Drosophila melanogaster: one gene and its partners. The protein of the gene in region 1 interacts with the protein of each later gene in a pairwise test. Each region holds a gene or a part of one and is shown in the gene's direction. Other genes may lie near its edges. The genes, in order: PSMG1, Vdup1, udd and SrpRalpha.

Evidence for each region.
Region 2: the proteins of PSMG1 (region 1) and Vdup1 interact in a two-hybrid assay, tested with the Drosophila melanogaster proteins (one large-scale study listed by BioGRID).
Region 3: the proteins of PSMG1 (region 1) and udd interact in a two-hybrid assay, tested with the Drosophila melanogaster proteins (one large-scale study listed by BioGRID).
Region 4: the proteins of PSMG1 (region 1) and SrpRalpha interact in a two-hybrid assay, tested with the Drosophila melanogaster proteins (one large-scale study listed by BioGRID).

Annotation. Positions count from the first base shown.
Region 1 is NT_033777.3:5,792,339-5,796,178, reverse strand, and holds PSMG1 (proteasome assembly chaperone 1), read left to right. Parts: upstream 1-1,861; 5' UTR 1,862-1,956; coding exon 1,957-2,057; intron 2,058-2,110; coding exon 2,111-2,538; intron 2,539-2,602; coding exon 2,603-2,781; 3' UTR 2,782-2,856; downstream 2,857-3,840. Other genes in the region: CG10979 (uncharacterized protein), read right to left, coding at 121-268, 339-801, 884-1,030, 1,139-1,294; Hpf1 (histone PARylation factor 1), read right to left, coding at 2,857-3,840.
Region 2 is NT_037436.4:175,299-180,813, reverse strand, and holds Vdup1 (vitamin D[[3]] up-regulated protein 1), read left to right. Parts: upstream 1-1,850; 5' UTR 1,851-1,981; intron 1,982-2,178; exon of another isoform or gene 2,179-2,317; intron 2,318-2,508; exon of another isoform or gene 2,509-2,940; 5' UTR 2,941-2,976; coding exon 2,977-3,432; intron 3,433-3,485; coding exon 3,486-3,668; intron 3,669-3,734; coding exon 3,735-4,124; 3' UTR 4,125-4,312; downstream 4,313-5,515. Other genes in the region: CG13875 (uncharacterized protein), read right to left, coding at 1-37; CG7049 (uncharacterized protein), read left to right, coding at 4,611-5,515.
Region 3 is NT_033778.4:8,104,536-8,108,334, forward strand, and holds udd (under-developed), read left to right. Parts: upstream 1-1,849; 5' UTR 1,850-1,920; coding exon 1,921-2,400; 3' UTR 2,401-2,838; downstream 2,839-3,799. Other genes in the region: Cul4 (cullin 4), read right to left, coding at 1-104, 156-616, 678-922, 990-1,314.
Region 4 is NC_004354.4:11,125,978-11,131,205, reverse strand, and holds SrpRalpha (signal recognition particle receptor alpha), read left to right. Parts: upstream 1-2,118; 5' UTR 2,119-2,231; coding exon 2,232-2,348; intron 2,349-2,416; coding exon 2,417-3,055; intron 3,056-3,142; coding exon 3,143-4,231; 3' UTR 4,232-4,329; downstream 4,330-5,228. Other genes in the region: Klp10A (Kinesin-like protein at 10A), read left to right, coding at 1-226; Rpt3 (regulatory particle triple-A ATPase 3), read right to left, coding at 4,520-5,228. UniProt on the Drosophila melanogaster protein: Component of the SRP (signal recognition particle) receptor. Ensures, in conjunction with the signal recognition particle, the correct targeting of the nascent secretory proteins to the endoplasmic reticulum membrane system.

The DNA of each region.
Region 1 (3,840 bases):
GCAGATATAAATGGACCATGTGAAAGAAAAAAGGAACCTGTCCCCTTGAAGTAGAATAATATCATATATTTTATAATAATAAAATATAAAAATTCTATGGTCGGGTTAAGTTGAACTTACTTGTGATCCTTCGACAAATGACGAATAACAGCAGCGGCCTGCAGAAAGGTCAGCGAACAGGCTGGGCACTGAAACACAAACGCCGATGATGAGTGATGCTTCTGAATGTGCACCTCAAGCGTTTTGTGCGTCTGAAACGTCAGATTGCCTGTGAACGAGATTAGGAAACACAGCTATCACTAATTGTATTCAAGGCCTATTCGGTTAGGTAGTCGTACAGATCTCGCAGAAAATACTCGGCTCCGTTTCGTCGCTGATGGACTGCTCGCCGGAGTCGCTGCCTGCATTGTTTTCCAGCTTAACGGTTGCCAAGGCCTTGCCGTCGGGTCCCACAATGGTTTCAGATGGATTAAGCATGCGATGCACCTCGTCCAGTTCTGTCCTTATGCTGTCGTCGTGGTCCACTTTGATGGTCTGATAAACAGCCTGGCTAGAGTTGGGCACAGACTCCAGCTGCAGAACAGTGGGCGAGCTGCACTTGGCCTGTGATGTAGCCTTTTCCCGTCGCAGACGCTCTATAACACCACTCAGGTCCCTTATGCCGCCGCCACCTCCTCCTCGTAAGGGACGCACGTCGCGGGGAACAGGCGAGCATCCCGTGCTTCTGCTGCGTAGCATATGTTCAATGTCCTGCGGGGACGGACCACCACCCGTTTGTATGATCATAGTGGAATTCTGATCCTGGGGGAGAATTAACAGCGATTAGTTGACATCCTATGGTATTAGAGACCTTGTAATGGGGTTGTCTTTACTGCCCACTCACTGTGTATCCGCTGCCATTTGCCGAACGAGCGCTGACGCAGCAAAAGACGCGTTTGTGGCTGATGAAATTGGCCAGGCTGCGAAACATGTTGCGGCACACCTTGCACTCGTAGATCAGGCTGCACTCCAGACTGAGCAGCTGGCGCACCTGTGGGAGAATCTGATTGTTATCCGGGGATCCACCAAACTGGGGCGCAGGAGCCTCCGCCATTGCGGGCCACAATTGAGTCACGTACTCCACTCAGATGAGACTCACCTCGCTGGTGCCATCCTCATAGGCCCGACGGGCCTCCTCGAATCCCGTGTGGGCGGTGCGCAGCGGCCGCTGCAGCAGGCTGATGTCGTCACCGTTGTGGTCCATCTGCTCCTCCTTGAAAGTGTCAGAGTTACAACGTGAGCTTCGCTTTCTCATGGCGCTGGTTTGCGCGCTTGCTCCCACTGCTAACCAAAAAATTTGAGACCTGTCCTAGCGCGCTGCCCTACGGAATATTTTCACCGACGTGAGGTTCTTAATCTGTTTCTAATTAGCGATCAAAGTGGTTTTCCAATTCGAATATGGACCTGCATCTTGCATTTTTTGTATTCAGTATGACCGTGCTTGAGCGCTGCTTCTGCTGCGATGCTGATCTGGTATTTTTATTAACCTGTGCGGAATTTTTTGTTTCAACTTAAAAAAAAACGGAAGAGTCGAAAATATTTAATCAGGCAAAACCAATAAGCTGGAACCACATTTGTTTTAATATTCGACTAGAACTAACAATTGAAGTTTGATTTCTCCCTTGCTCAGTGGGCGTAACTTCCATCAATTCTCAAAACCCCCAAACAATATTGTCAATACATAATTTTGGAATTAGCTTATTGTTAAATCTTTAATTGACATGCCAAGCCCTAATAAGTTCAGAAAAAGCGCTAAAAGTTCCTAAATATTACCTGCAAATGTAATTTATTCAAATAGAAAAACGTTTATTTTGGCGTTCAGCACATGGTCACACTGATGACTTGAAAAAAACATAGTGACCGGAATTAGGCTCATCATATTAGTTTCACCTTTTTTATTAAATCAAAACAGACACGATGAGCTGTCCAGGATTTGGAGAACTAAATATACCCTCGTCGCGTGCCTTCTGGGACGACTGCGACGAGGATGAATTGGAGAACCTTAAGCCGGTGGAGAAGTGCGTGATCTAATGTTATTTACGTAGGTAGTCCTAATTTCTTGGATTCGCAGGCTGCAGCTGAAGTTTGATGATGATTGCGATGGGGAAGCTGCCCCTGTGGAGAGCGAGATGCTGGTGGTCATTGAGGGCGTCAACGTCACTCACTTCGCCTCTTCTCTGCTGGAAAAGGATGCAAAGCGTGTGTGCGCCATTCCTGCCAATAACTCGACCCTGCACTGGAGTCATTCGTCCAAACAGTTGCTGGCCATAATCAACGAGGACCTGACCAGTAGCGGCGAGGTAGCGGAGCTCCTACTGCCGTACGTGAAGCTTGCCAAGAAAGTGATCACTCTGACGCTTAAGCCAAAGGTCGAGTTCAAAAGCGAGGACATCCAGCTCTACCGGGATCACATTGCCGTTGTCCGCGGCATAGGTGCCAACCAGAAGGATATCACTGAACTAGAGGCTCCCAACTTTATCGCTGGAGTTGCAGCAGGCGGTGAGTGATGAGTGGAAAAGGAGAAGGTTGAATCACCTCACCATCTGTTCACCTTTTTTTGCAGTTGCCAGTTGGCGGGATCAGATGGAATTGCCTGTTACCTCTTTCGTTATTTACACCGACAAGCTGCCCCTCGACGCCACAGCTGCGCAGCCAGTGATCAAGGTACTTAAAGCCGCGGGCGTTGCCTGCAGCTCGAGCTACATCCCTCCGCGGAAGGAGAGCTCTTATTTGTACATGTGAAACTACTTTTGGCTGTGCTCAACTTCCTAGTTTTAATGCTTGTAAAAATGATACGGTTGCGGAATAAAAATCGAACTACTTAAGTACATCAAAAATGCTGAGGTTGTCCTCCCGACTACGTTGCTCCATGTGCGCCTTGGCGATGGCTATGAACTGTGGACGGGAAAGCATTGAATAGGCGGGTACCAGCAACGATGAGGCAAGCATGTGCAGCTCCTTGTGCCCACTGCAGAACATATCGATGCCTAGTTCCAGGGCGCTTCCAAAGTCCGATTCATCAACTGCTATGTTGGCTGCGTTGGCCACCGGCTGCAGCTTCTCCAGAACCGCCTGCTTGGCGGCTCCATTATCGACGTCCTTCCGCTCAAGCATTGCCAGCATCTTCTTGAGTTCGGAATCGCTGACAGCCAGCGGGCGGTATCCCACTTCTGTCTTCTGGTCAAAGGGCACAACAATGCCGGCTCGGTGGAATGTCTTGGCCACAACACGCTTGTTGCGCTCCCGCTGCAGTCGGTCCAGCTGGGCCAGTTCTAGGGAATTGTCACTCAGGTATTTTGCCACCGCCTTTTTGGTCCCCGCCAACTGCCCGCATGAGAACGGAGTGGCCGCAAAATCGTGCTCCAGGTAGTAGAGGAAAGCATCGAAGGCATTTCCAGCGACGAATTGGAACTGGCAGCCTTTCGCAGAGTCGTTGCGGGCTATTAAGAGATTTTCCTTGTCCTGCGGCACATCGCGCCAGTAACCGTAGTGAATCCCAGTGCCTCGGCGCACGAAGATCGTCTGAAATTCTGGTGGATCGTAGTAAAAACGCCAGTGGCGCAGGTAGTCTCCCGGTTCGCCTAGTTTGGCGCCGTGAAATTTACCGGCTAGGAACTCAAAGGGACCCACCAACTGCAGTTGAAATACTTTGTCTAGGTGCTCCAAGCCAGCATCCTTGGGCTTCGCAGGATCAATTTTTAAGCTTCCCACAAACTTCCAAAATTCGTAGAAGTCCGGCGGCATTTCGACAAGGAACTTGTGTCGAATGAACTCGTTGGACTCGCAGAGATTGTCGTACTC
Region 2 (5,515 bases), on another chromosome or scaffold:
CTATGGCTTCATCTCCTGGTAGTGGTAGGCTCTGCATCCCGAAGCCTTTACTGGTTATTGTGTAAGCTAGTGCTCTATGGAGGCATCACAAAGGAAGGGGTTAGCCAAAAGAGAACCTTAGATATGCTAATACAGATATGGTATAAGAAGCGTGGCGAACAAACCATTTGGTGTAATTTATGCAACCTAACCGCTTGTAAGCAGAGCTGACAATTAGTTAACAGTTCTTCTTTAGAATAAGGTCCTCTCATCGGCTGCGGCCGTCAGAACGTGTCAATTTCGGTCATTAGCTAGTTATGAAAATCTGTGGTAACTTGTGTATGGCGCTTCGATTGGACCAGTGATGAACTAGAATCAGCCTTCTTCATGTAAACACTAAGTTACTCACGGAGCGCTATTATGAGTGTCTTTATTGTTACAATTTTAACTTTCTCGCGTTCCACTGGCCCGACCGAAGACAGTTTAAAGTTTTCGATGCGAACCGTGCCTTACCAGCGCGCTCGGTATCTTCGCCACAACTGAGCCACTGCCCCAAGTCGGACATAGAAGCAGCTCGATTTAAGGGAGAGCGTGCCAGAGAGGTGAAACAAGGCAAGAGCAACGAAAACAGTGGCCAATGCGCCCAGCCAGTTGGGCATGAGAAAGTTTTGCAGGTGTAGCTCTGCTACACCTCTTGTTTTTCTCTTTGAGACTTTACGGTATCGTTGGTAAGTTTATGGAGTGGACCAGCCACTCCCCCTTGGTGATTGATGTTACACCAAGATATTCTCTGCCTTCACGTCTGGCTTTCGCTATTATTATAAGAGATGGAGATAGGCTTACTATAGGTTCCTCAGCGCCGGACTTTCAGAAAAATGATAAACAGAGCTGAGATTCGGAGATCGGTTCGGTGGTGCGCGGAGCAGCTTTGAAACCACACTGACTTTAACTCAAGAATACTTAGTTGTGGGCTCCACGAAACTTCGAGCTCAAGCGATTATCATTTTGAACCAAACTAGTATAGACGTCTCTATTCGAAACAACCTAATTTTCAGATACTCTATACGTCGAGGCCACAAACGGGAAATCTTTGGAGTCTCGTTGAAATCTCTCTTCGCGGTAAAGACTTGGGTCATTATAAAACAACAACTCCCAGCAATTAAGCCGAGAAACATTGAAATGGAAAACTATAGCCTAGCCATTGCTACTAAATGTCACTAATGCCGTTGGAAGAAATATGAAAAGCTGGAAAAGTTAAATACGAAAGTGATTTGTTTTCTCTTATAGCCAGCATAGTCTTCAAAACGATTGATTTCTTCAGTCCATATATAGTTTGACCATCGTTGCATCTCTACTCTTTCTAATATTATCTTATACTTTGTCGATCATAAGGATAACCTACAGATTCCTTTTAATAAAGTTTTCAAGGTATCTGCCACAGGACTCATTTTTTGACTAATTTTCAGGGTATAGCCATAGCTTGCCACAGCTTGCCACAGGCTGCCGAGCCATTCACCGATTCGGTTTTCGCAGCCAGTGATAGTTTGCTTGGCTTTTGGCCTTTCATTTTCATGAGCTACAGTTGAGGTTCTTCGATTTGGGTACCTTAAAACAACAAATAACCGGTATTAAATGCATGCATAATGCATAAATGTGTGCCACTTTATCCATTTTAGTCTGCACACGATTTGTCGACTATGGATAAATACCTGTAAAATATGGGCTTGGTGTTGGAAATACAGATTTATTTTCTAGGTGCAACCGAGTAACACAAGATACACCTGCTGAGCTATAGCGGGGCGACTCTGCGAGCATTGCCATATTATTAGCAAATTGCTCCTATAATCGATTCAGTTTGAACAGCTTAGCTAACCGTTGAGGTGACAATTTGGTTCTCATGCTCGTTTGGTCTTCTGTTGTCTGTGGTGCCGTTCCAGTTTTTTCCGTTTGAATTTATTCAAGAAGATACGCGCTTTGCGTATCCTGTAAGCCCGCTGGAAAGGTAAATTCAGCCATGTATTACATGAATGCAAAAGATAGTAAAAACAAAAGCGGGCTACTTATTGGCATTACGACATCAGCTGGCTCCGGCTGGGCCTCTCTCAAACGATCCCTCGCAAAAACGCGCTCAAAACAAGTTTTTCAGTCGAGCTCTCGTCCGCAAACTGATGCATAACGACGACGACGATGACGACGACGGTGATCAGTTGCCAAACAAACGCTCGAGAGCGTGGACGAGATCTTGCCAAACGAATATCGCTCAAAGGCAGAACGGGTTAAATCGGTTCGGTTTGGACTGGTGTTCCGATCTGGCCAAAAAACACCTTTGTGTGTACAGGTATTTGAAAAGCGATCATTATTTCAAGTGCGCCCACAGGGATGAAGAGAAAACAATTGATCTGTTGTGGATAAAAACAAAAATGTTGAACAATTTGAATGTAATCATTCCAATGGCAGTGTACGGTTGGGAATCCGCTTTCCACTAGGAAATTACGTCAGTTTTCTTTTCGGTTTCTGTTTCCCAATCAGGAATCATCAACATTGTCACCAGTGCACCAAACAGGCTTGCCGACAGTCGCAGTTGCAGCTTACGCTTTTGGTAAAGATGTACATACTGGAGTTTTGCCCAAATTTGTAGGCGCGGGCGTGACACGCCCGACATGCTTCATGCGCCGACCTTGCAGTTGATGCTTAAGTGTTCGGGGCTTTCGTGCTGCATAGTTGTGCACGCAGCCATCTCTTGGCCGTACGAAACTGGTTTTGTTTCCTTTGCCCGCCTAGATGCTACCCACATAAATATGCAAACAAGCGCCGTATGTATGTGAGACCGTAGTCCGTAGTACATGGTCTCAGACCTAGCCAGCTATGACGGATAAGTTGTCATTAACCATAATGACGCGTGCGGAGCGGGTCAAATATTTGGCAACCGTGTTCTAACGAATTTCGTTGGTTTTTCCTTAGGCGTACGAATGAAATCGGCAACAAAACAGAGGCACGATGCCGCGCAAGTTGCTTAAATTCCTTATCATCTTCGACAACACTTCCCTCCTGTACTTCCCGGGCCAGTTTCTCTCCGGACGGGTTCTAATCGAATTGCAGGATGAGACGCCTGCTTTGGGACTTCATTTCCATGTGGTAGGCGAAGGGGTCGTGCGCAACGGGCGGCGACAGGAGCGGACATACGATAAGGAGAACTATATCGACTTTCGGATGCGACTTCTGGGGGACGTAGACCAAGGAGGTCCAGCTATACTCTCGCCAGGAATTCACAGCTTCCCCTTCAAACTCGGCTTGCCACTGGGTCTTCCATCTACATTTCTCGGTCGGTACGGCTGGATTCAGTTCTACTGCAAGGCGGCGCTCCGCGAGAACAATGGCATTATCCATAAGAACCACCAGGTCTTCATTGTGATGAATCCCATCGACCTAAACCTTGAAAAGCCCATCTTAGCAGTAAGTAGCTTTAAAAACCCTGTTTAAAAAAACTAACCTTTCGCCTGACTCAGCAACCGTTCACCTGCGAAGTTGAGCACAAGCTAGGCGTCGTCTGTGTTGGTGGAGGTCAGATAAAGTGCAGAGTGTCCCTTGATCGCGGTGGGTATGTGCCCGGCGAGAATATTCTGGTCACCGCATTTATATCCAACTACAGTAATGTGTCCATTAAACGGACTAAGGCATCCCTCACTGAGGTCGGTATCGCTTTCAAGTGGCTAGTTACAATTCATCCATTTTGATCTTATTTGGATTTTATTTAGACCATCGAGTATTTGGCGCGGGGGAAGGTGGTGCAAACGGAAAAACGGGAGCTGGCTGTTTTAGTTCGTGGCAAGATCCGTCCGGGGGCCAAAGACGAGTGGCACAACGAGCTTTACGTTCCACCCCTGCCGCCGACCAATCTTCATGGCTGCCACCTGATCAAAATATCCTACGACGTCTTCTTCGTGATCGAACCCAAGTCCATGGAGAAGGAGATTAAGCTACAGCTTCCTATCGTGCTTGCGACGTACCCCTTTCGACACTCCGGTGATGCGGTCAATGCCAACACCTGGCCGGAATCGGTGCTTAAGCCGGACACGCACACCCACTATCCGTCCACACTACCCATATTCCGGCCCTGGCTGCACGAGAAGCCTATCGAGGCATAGCCCGCAGCTTTTAGGATTGCTGTGTATCACAACTTGTTAAGACCGATTTGCGCCATACAACAATTTAAACTTATTTAACTTATACTTAACGTTTTTTAATGTTTCTGGTCTTTGCATTTGTAGGTCTTCCGTTCCCAAAAATTTGTTCATGATTGAAGAATTTATAACAAATACAAACGAAAGTTAACATAAAGACCAGACTTTGATAAATTATAATTAGCTCATATACATAACTTTTTATAAAACCTAAATATTGTAGGTTATATATTATTAAAATGGTAAAACTGCACTCATTAACCTTCTAACTACTACTAAATGGTTATAATAATAATAATAATCCCAAAAGTATGGTTGTTGAAATTGAAATAAATTGTTTAAAACGTTACAGCCTAAAGTATGCTATTAAAAAGCTGGCTTGTTCGGAATTTAAATTCGCGAAATTAAGTATTGATTCCAAAACTAAAAAGGGCCACACTGCACGTTAAGATGACAACAATTATATTAGTCCTCTTTATTTGGATAGTTTTATTCAATGACGTATCCAGCGACTGTGGCTGCCAAAAGCTCGACCGGAAGGCCCCGGATATGCCGTCCATTTCCGGACAAGTGTGCCAGCAACGAGCACAGGGTGCACACAGCCACTACCGGGATTACTATGGCGAACTGGAGCCAAATATTGCGGACATGTCACTGCTTCCGGGAGGCACGGTTTACATGGGTACTGACAAACCGCACTTTCCGGCCGACCGCGAGGCTCCGGAACGGCAGGTGAAGCTGAATGACTTCTACATCGACAAGTATGAGGTTTCCAACGAAGCCTTTGCGAAGTTTGTTCTGCACACTAACTACACCACGGAGGCTGAGCGATATGGCGACAGTTTTCTGTTTAAGAGCCTTTTGAGCCCATTGGAGCAGAAGAACCTAGAGGACTTCCGAGTGGCGAGCGCTGTCTGGTGGTACAAAGTGGCCGGCGTGAACTGGCGACATCCAAATGGCGTGGACAGCGATATAGACCACTTAGGCCGACACCCGGTAGTGCACGTATCGTGGCGCGACGCTGTGGAGTACTGTAAGTGGGCCGGCAAGCGGTTGCCCAGCGAGGCGGAGTGGGAGGCGGCTTGCAGGGGCGGCAAGGAGCGCAAACTGTTTCCCTGGGGCAACAAGCTGATGCCAAGGAATGAACATTGGCTGAACATCTGGCAGGGAGACTTTCCCGATGGCAACCTGGCTGAAGATGGGTTTGAGTACACCAGCCCCGTGGATGCCTTCCGACAGAATATTTACGACCTGCACAACATGGTGGGCAACGTCTGGGAGTGGACGGCAGATCTGTGGGACGTAAATGACGTTAGCGATAATCCAAATCGGGTCAAGAAGGGCGGTTCTTATCT
Region 3 (3,799 bases), on another chromosome or scaffold:
CACTCAGTCTGTTGTCTTCCAACAATGAATCCAAGCCCTTCTGCAATATTGACGTTAGGTGTTCGGCAAGTAACTCTTTTTCCACATTGTAAATCAGTGGATGTCTGTAAAAAACGCATTAATAATTGTTTTTATTATTGACTTCGCCAGCATACTTGGTGCTCGAGTCCAGATAGTGACGCAAACGCTCGTTCTCCTCGGCCAAACGCTTGTTGACGTGTTGTAAGTACTCGGGAACTTCCAGTTCTTGCATCTTGCGTTGACTCTCAGCCTTATACAATTGATTGGTTGCGTCGAGGAACTTCTCCTCAAAGGAGCTGGTGTAGATCTGCAGGTCGCATAACATGCGAACCAAGCTCTTCAGCAAACCACGGTCCACGGTGGAGCCTTGTCGTTCTTTTTCAATAAGCGTTAGTAAACCGTCGACGGTTCGCTTTTGGACAACGCTGTTTTGAGCAAAATGGATGCGAAAAAGGTCCAGCCCCATGTCCCAAATCGAGTGAACGGTCGAATTTTGCAGCACATAAGTTCGATCCATATACAAGAATATGCTGCGAATCATGATCATTTGTTGGCAGAACGAGAGCCACCAGTGGTTGATCTTTTCCAGCAAAATCTAAAAGACAATAAAAGTTGACGAGTAAACCTTTAAATGTGCTCCTTAAACAGCAACTTACCAGTTTGTCCATGCTACCGCCGGTGAGCTCCTTGAGCTTAATATTGCGCTTTACGTGTTGCTCTGTTAGCTCCTTGAGTTTCGCGTATAATTGTGCATCCATCTTGTGGCTACACATGTTCACCACCGCCTGGTAGAGCTCCTCCAGCGAATATTTAATGGGCTTGGAGAGTTGGATGGCGATAACGGCTTCTTCAAGCTTCACGTACGTGTCCTTGGAATAGTTATCGGGCAGTGTAGGCTTATCTAAGGAAGGAAGGAAGGAAGTTGAATCATGCAGTATACAAACAGTTGAGATCTAGACGGGACCTACCCTTAAAGTTCTTAATCACTATCTTCTTGACATCGCCAGGCTTGCTGTTGTGAATAGCCCCCATGCGATTGAGGAGATTTGAGGTAGTTGAAGCCGTGCGGATCTCGCCATGGCTGCCGCCTAGCTTGGAGAAGTTTGGCAGGCGCTCGCCGTTGGTGGACGCAGAATTCATGTTTTGGGCAGCGAAGGCACTGCGGCCCACGCTCGAGGCGGCAGCAGCGGTGGGGGCGACGTTCTCGGCCTTCTTCAGGCAGGCGGCAATATTCTCTGTGTTCTCGTGCAGCTCAGTTGTGTCCATGGGCTTGTACTTCTTGGCCGCACTCATAGCTTAGGGCCCCTGCTGCCAGCAGGATCTCCACTCCGCTCCTGCTCTCCTGATCCTGCCCTGCTTTCGTCGCACCGGCTTTGCTTAGTCCTGGGCGTGGAGATCGGTTATTGATTGCTGGCTTTTCCTTTAAGGGAAGGGATTGCAGTTTGTATTTCGATACGTACCCTTGAAATGATTACCAGCAAATATTCGTAATATTTTTGCGACTTTTGCACTGGGGTCGTCAAGAAATTGGCAACTTGCGAACTCAAGGCAAATAGACTTCCTGTGAATTTTCCGGCTGCGAAGTAGATTTCTCCGACAAACGGCGTCCTTTTGGACAAATGGGGTTCCTTCGACGCCTGAGAGACTATTCAAATCGACAAAACTTCGGAAGTACAATTACACAGGCAACATTTTATTATTTCGCTTTTGGTTGCATGCGGAAAATATTGCTTTTTGGGATATCGGACGAATCAAAACATCGATTGGCTGCGGGTAATCGATAGCTCAGCGGGCAGCACTGCCTATCGATATTGGTGTGAAACAGGTTAACATTGCCTATCACTGTTAGCACGACGCATTGTGTTCGCGACGCATTTATGTTCGCTTTCGCCATATAAAATGAAAACAAAAGATGAGAAGCCATCGCCTTTGAAAACTGCACCGCGTAAAATAAAGGGTGAGAATTTTCCAGCCAGAAGGATACCCGCAAATGTTTTGAAACGCACGCTTGAGATCGCCACCAGTCCCGAAGATGGCTTTTGGGTGAACCAAAACCCATCCTGTGCTCCTCCGGCCAGTAACGAGTTTTACTTCAGCGTTCGACGATCCACTGCGTACGAGAAACTACGACTGGCCCGGGATTGCCTTATGCAGCGGGACTACAAGAACTTGGCAAAAATACTGGCCTCCAATCATATGGGAGAAACGCTGCTCCAAAGGGCGTCCTTTCAAATATTCACGGAATACTCCAAGGTTCTTCAAAAGTGCCCAAAGTTCTACACGAAAATGGAGCAGTTGCGAGTGGAGCCGACTCCTCCGACGAGACCCACAGATGAAGACATAGCATTAGACGATTCATTAAATGCTATTCTATCCTAGTTACCTTTTTTAATAACGACGAAGTTAGGCAAGAAATATAATATAACTACCTCATAAAAAAACGCATATTAAATTGCCTATTAAAACTGCGTCCATCCCACTAATATATAGTGACGTATTTGGGTGGTCCAAACCAGCCACTTCCATTATTTCAAAGAAATCAGTAATGCACTCTAGTAATTTTCCATAACGTATCCCAGCTGCGCAGCATTCGTTTATCTTTGGCAGCGCAGCCGTTCTTGTAAACATCCTAAAGCCTGACCTAAGCAGATTTGACTGCCCTCTTTCAACGCTACCTAATCTTAAGAACCCAAGAGCGAGGCTCTCCCGAAATACAAATATTGTTCAAATACTGAGGCTTCTCCTCAATCCAATTTGCATTTGATTTTTAGTCTTAAGCTGAGATCCAAAGAATAAAGTCGTGAAACTATTTCTCCTAAAAACTATTTTTTATTTCTTGGCGTTGTCCTTAGTCAACTGACGGGACATTAGTTCGACTCATAAATAAAACAACAATTTTACTGGCGCAGTCGGTAGGATACAAAAGTATCCGAAAAAAAAAGAACCTTCGAGTGGAAAATAAGTTAAATTTTATAGTCCAGTGCTCGAAACATCTCCCAAAATAAATTCGTGAAAACTCTTCAACTTGGATTATAATTCCAATTCGGTTATCCAATAATAAGTGGAAGTGAAATACGAAACAAAAATATTAAGTCCAAAGGCAACTAAGTTTTAAAACCAACATATAAAAATAAAAAATTAAAACAATATAGAATTTTAATAATACAACACAAAAATTTACAAAACAAAAAAAAACAAACAAGTGAAACTAGAAAGCTTAAAAATAATAATAACATTGAATCCGAAACAAAACAAAAAAATAAAACACAAAAGTTAAAAATTTTACAATAAAAATGTCACAACCAATTATTGCGCTGAGCGACATAAACCTTGCCGAAGCCCGTCGGCAGCTTAAAGACATTATGCCATTCAAGGGTGATCCAGAAACCCTTCACACCTTTATCAGCAGAGTGGATTACGTAATTTCGCTCTACCAAACAAATGATGTCCGACAACAGAGGATTCTACTGGGAGCCATCGAAAGGAACTTGGACGGACAAATTACACGATCTTTGGGACTTCCGAACATCGAAGATTGGCCTACCCTTAAAGCAAGACTCATCGCGGAATTTAAAATTCAAACACCAAACTACAAACTTCTGGAGAACTTCAGGGAGACACCATACAGAGGAAGCCTAAGAGCATTCTGCGAAGAAGCGGAGAGACGACGTCAATTACTAATTTCGAAACTACACCTGGAAGGTAACCAATCGGATTTTCTTATTTATATTCAGGGTATTAAAGAATCTATTAAGATACTGATAAGGAAACTACCAAT
Region 4 (5,228 bases), on another chromosome or scaffold:
TAATGCCACACTGGAGACCTTCCTCGCCGAGTCGAAGGCGCTGTACAATCTGACCAACTATGTGGACTACGACCAGGACTCGTACTGCAAACGGGGCGAGTCGATGTTCTCGCAGCTGCTGGACATCGCCATCCAGTGCCGCGACATGATGGCCGAATATCGCGCCAAGTTGGCCAAGGAGGAGATGCTGTCGTGCAGCTTCAATTCGCCGAATGGCAAGCGTTAGTTCATTCCCGCATTCGACCCGTTCATCCACAATCACCAACAATCATCCACCACACCCAACCAGGCGTACACTTTACATTACAAATTCCCTCTGGCTTCCCAATGGACGTGTCTGTCGTGCAGTCCCCTAAAACAATCTCTCTATCACCTTTGCCCCAAACCGTCGAGTTTATGTCGCTGCGAGTTTATGGTTTATTAAGTTTTTAACTGATAAATAATAGTCGAGAGCCTATATTTTACAAACGAACTAAGCACGGGAACAGACCAGATACCACAGCATTAATACCATTATGAGAGCAACGCAAACCAATAAAAAGGAACTCAACTGAAAACTGAAGACAGGCTAGGCTGGCTGGCCACGACTTTGTTTGGATTCGCCGTGAACTATGATTATATGAATATAATTGTAATTTCAGCGCAGTCGATACTCTAATTGTGTAAAAGAAAAAGACATTTACTATACAATATATATATATTTACTACTTACAAACATACGTTCTACTCTAAACAATGATATGAGATTCCATTTAATTTTTAACAAATAACCTTATGCGATTCGATTCGATGCGATTTGTTTCCCTCATTTTTGTTCATTTTGTAGAATTACTCGACCAGAGTTGTTTGTTCATGCCACGGCACAAATCTACTAGTTTTTAAATTACGAACTAATCGCGCATTGTATTTATTTAAAGGCCACAAAACTGTATTTAATTTGTATTAATTTATTAAAGTACTACTGCACCAAATCCGATTTACATACGTATTCCCATAGCCAGTAACTATTAATGATTTTCACACGCAAACCGAACTGCAATCTTAGACAGCAAGTGTTTTTTTTTGTGAAACTTTTTATGCCCCTTCTTTATAAATTTATATATCTACATATAAATTATTTACATTATATTTTTTTTTGTCATTTTAAGCGACTTCGGTGAAGAATTTAAAATGCAAACTGTTTTTGCTATACGATTATTATGATTTAGAGATGATTTGCATTTCATTTTGTACTAATATTTATTGCATATATTTAATTATGTTTACACGACTAAAAACTAAACTATCGAAAGCAAATCAAACGAAACTTAACCAAATCATGGATTTCCACACACTGCTGTTTGTGCTGCGATAAAAACGAAACAACAAAGCAAAATACACTGAGAAAAAACACACACACAAATCTGTTCCAAATAGCGGAGAACCTAGTATCGTAGCCTTAAAAAGAAAAGTAAAAAAGAAAGCAAACAAAGCAAACTAAACTAAATCGAAAATGTGAACGAAACATACTCACGTGCTTCTCCTAAAGTATTTATCCAATCAAGACGTTTAATCTTTTTGTTATGGCATTTCCTCAGAGCACTTTAAAAATGAAAATACTAAACAAAACCCAAGGCAGGCGAATGATAATGATAAACCATTTTTTAATCCACCAAATGCGAGTTTTTAAAACAATGTTAATATGGCAAAACCAACTGAATGAGTGCTTCGATATTATGCGGTATAAATAATGAAAGTGTTAGGACTTGGACTCTAATAATGTATTATTAAATATAAATAATAAATTATATTGTAATGAAACGTGAACATACACAACTAAATTTAACATTAAAGATGTGTAAAGCAAAAACAAAGGACTCTTCATTTATTTTCGAATGGGAACTAGTTTTTAATCATAAAAACAGGGAATCCTCTAACTGCTGCCCTACATTTGAAATGTATAAGTTAGCTTGGAACTACTGTATTTGCATTTCATATGAATAATAGACTTCTAGTGAAATTAATATTGCTTATTGTTTTTTTTTTTTTCAAATTGAACTATTTGTATTTAACGGTTTTTCGGCTTTCAAAAGTGACAGCTTTCGATATCGATAACGCGCGTAGCTATCGAGCGCGCTGCCATCGCTAGGCAAGTGACGTGGAACGTGTGGCAACTTTTGATTTGATGCAAATGCAATGCGAGTAGAGTGCGTTGTTGTTGAAAGTGACGACGGATCGGAAGCGTAGCTAAAATGTTGGACTTTGTGGTGATATTCACCAAGGGCGGAGTGGTGCTGTGGCACTCGAACGCGTCCGGTAACAGTTTCGCCTCCTGCATCAACAGCCTGATACGTGGCGTCATTCTGGAGGTAAGTGCATGCACGGATTTGGTTGTGAATGCACCAATGGACACTAATGTGCTTTTGTGCGGCTGCAGGAGCGCAACACAGAGGCCAAGTACTACGAGGAGGACCACCTGGCCGTGCAGTTTAAGCTGGACAACGAACTGGACCTGGTCTATGCGGCCATTTTCCAGAAGGTGATCAAACTGAACTACCTAGATGGATTCCTGGCCGACATGCAGGCGGCCTTCAAGGAAAAGTACGGCGACATACGTCTGGGCGATGACTACGACTTCGATCGCGAATATCGACGCGTGCTCAGCGCCGCGGAGGAGGCGTCCGCCAAGCAAGTGAAAGCACCTAAAACCATGCGCTCCTACAACGAGTCACAGAAATCGAAAAAGACCGTCGCCTCGATGATACAGGACGACAAGAAGCCGGTGGAGAAGCGGGTGAACATCCAGGAGGCCCCGCCACCATCCAAATCACAGCCGTCGTCGCCACCGACGGGCTCCCCAATGGACAAGATCATCATGGAGAAACGGCGCAAGCTGCGCGAAAAGCTCACGCCCACCAAGAAGACCTCGCCCAGTGATTCCAAGTCCAGCAAGCCCGAGAAGGCCGGCAAGAAGCCACGCGTCTGGGATCTGGGCGGTAATTCCAAGGATGCCGCTCTGCTCGATCGCTCCAGGGATTCGCCCGATGATGTGCAGTACCAGAACATCAACAGCGAGGTGAGTACTAACTTTCACTTTCCCCGAACGCGACTCGCATTCAAAGTGAAATCACGAACTCATTATTATCATTTTTCATACTCGCAGCTGGTGGGCACAATGCAGGGCGTCATCCGCGACTTGGATGTGGAGAGCGAGGACGAGGCTGACAACGAGGATGCATCCTCTGAGGGGGAGGCCGAGGAGCAGGTGCAGTCAAAGAAGGGCAAGCGCGGTGGCCTGCTATCCTACTTCAAGGGCATTGTAGGCGCCAAGACCATGTCGCTGGCAGATTTGCAGCCGGCGCTGGAGAAGATGCGCGACCATCTGATATCGAAGAACGTGGCCTCTGAGATAGCAGCTAAGCTGTGCGACTCGGTGGCCGCCAGTTTGGATGGCAAGCAAATGGGCACATTCGACAGCATCGCCAGCCAGGTGAAGGAGGCGCTCACGGAATCGCTGGTGAGGATACTATCGCCCAAACGGCGCATCGACATCATACGCGATGCCCTCGAATCGAAGCGCAACGGCCGCCCGTACACGATAATCTTCTGCGGTGTCAATGGTGTCGGCAAGTCCACCAATTTGGCCAAGATCTGCTTTTGGCTGATCGAGAACGATTTCAACGTTCTGATCGCCGCCTGCGATACGTTCCGAGCCGGTGCCGTCGAGCAGTTGCGCACACACACACGCCATCTGAACGCACTGCATCCGGCGGCCAAGCACGATGGACGCAACATGGTGCAGTTGTACGAGAAGGGTTACGGCAAGGATGCCGCCGGCATTGCCATGGAGGCCATCAAGTTTGCCCACGATACGCGAGTGGATGTGGTGCTTGTGGACACCGCCGGACGCATGCAGGATAACGAGCCGCTGATGCGTTCCCTGTCCAAGCTAATCAAAGTGAACAATCCGGATCTGGTGCTATTCGTGGGCGAGGCACTGGTGGGCAACGAAGCCGTCGACCAGCTGGTCAAGTTCAATCAGTCGCTGGCCGACTACTCATCCAACGAGAACCCGCACATCATCGACGGCATAGTGTTGACCAAGTTCGATACCATCGATGACAAGGTGGGCGCCGCCATCTCCATGACCTACATAACCGGCCAGCCAATTGTGTTCGTGGGCACGGGTCAGACGTATGCCGACCTAAAGGCCATCAATGTGAACGCCGTGGTCAATTCCCTGATGAAGTAAGCCAGCCGTCGATCCGGCTATCCTTCCAATGCTCCTTGTTTGCATCCACTCTTTTCACCGAATCAAATATATGGCTTTTGTCTAGTTTGTTGTTGCGTAAATGGAATGCTTTGCCCACTGTTGGCTGTTGGTTCGTTTAGGATTAAGGATCGCTTGGCACTTCGATTACAAGTTGTTTTGTTTTTTTTTATTTTTTTATTAATGTTTATAACTTTATGCGTACAAAGAAGAGTTTAGTGTGTTGGGGGAAAAAATGGGGCGGGAGTAGTGTGTATGAATTAATATAATCTATTTGTAGAACTCGTGCTCCTGCTCGTCCTTCTTGATATTGTTCTTGTAGCCCTTCTCGAAGTCCTTGGCCAAAACGATGTAGCGATTCTCACGCACCGCGTGCATGCCCGCCTCTTGGCAAATGGCGTTGATATCGGCACCGGAGATCTTGTCCGGCCGCGCCACAAACTCCTCCAAATCGACATCCTCGCTTAGGTTCATCTTCGAGGTGATGGTGGAGAAGACGAGTCGCTTCTGCCGGCGATCGGGCAGCGGGAACTCAATCTTACGATCCAATCGACCAGGTCGCAGCAATGCCGGATCGAGTGTGTCCGCCCTGTTGGTAGCCATGATCACCTTAACGTTCGTGGTCTGATCGAACCCGTCCATCTGGTTGAGCAGCTCGAGCAGAATGCGCTGCACCTCGCGATCGGCGCCAGTCTGCGCATCGAAACGCTTCGTGGCAATCGCATCGATCTCGTCAATGAAGATGATGGCCGGCGCGTTCTCCTTGGCCAGCCTGAAAACGTCGCGCACCATGCGCGGTCCCTCGCCGAGGTACTTCTGCACGAACTCCGAGCCGACGACGCGTATGAACGACGCCGTCGTATGATGGGCCACCGCCTTGGCCAACATGGTCTTGCCGCAACCGGGCGGACCGTACATAAGCACGCCGCGCGGCGGATCGATGCCAATCTGCTTGTACAGCTCGAAGTGGGTCAGCGGC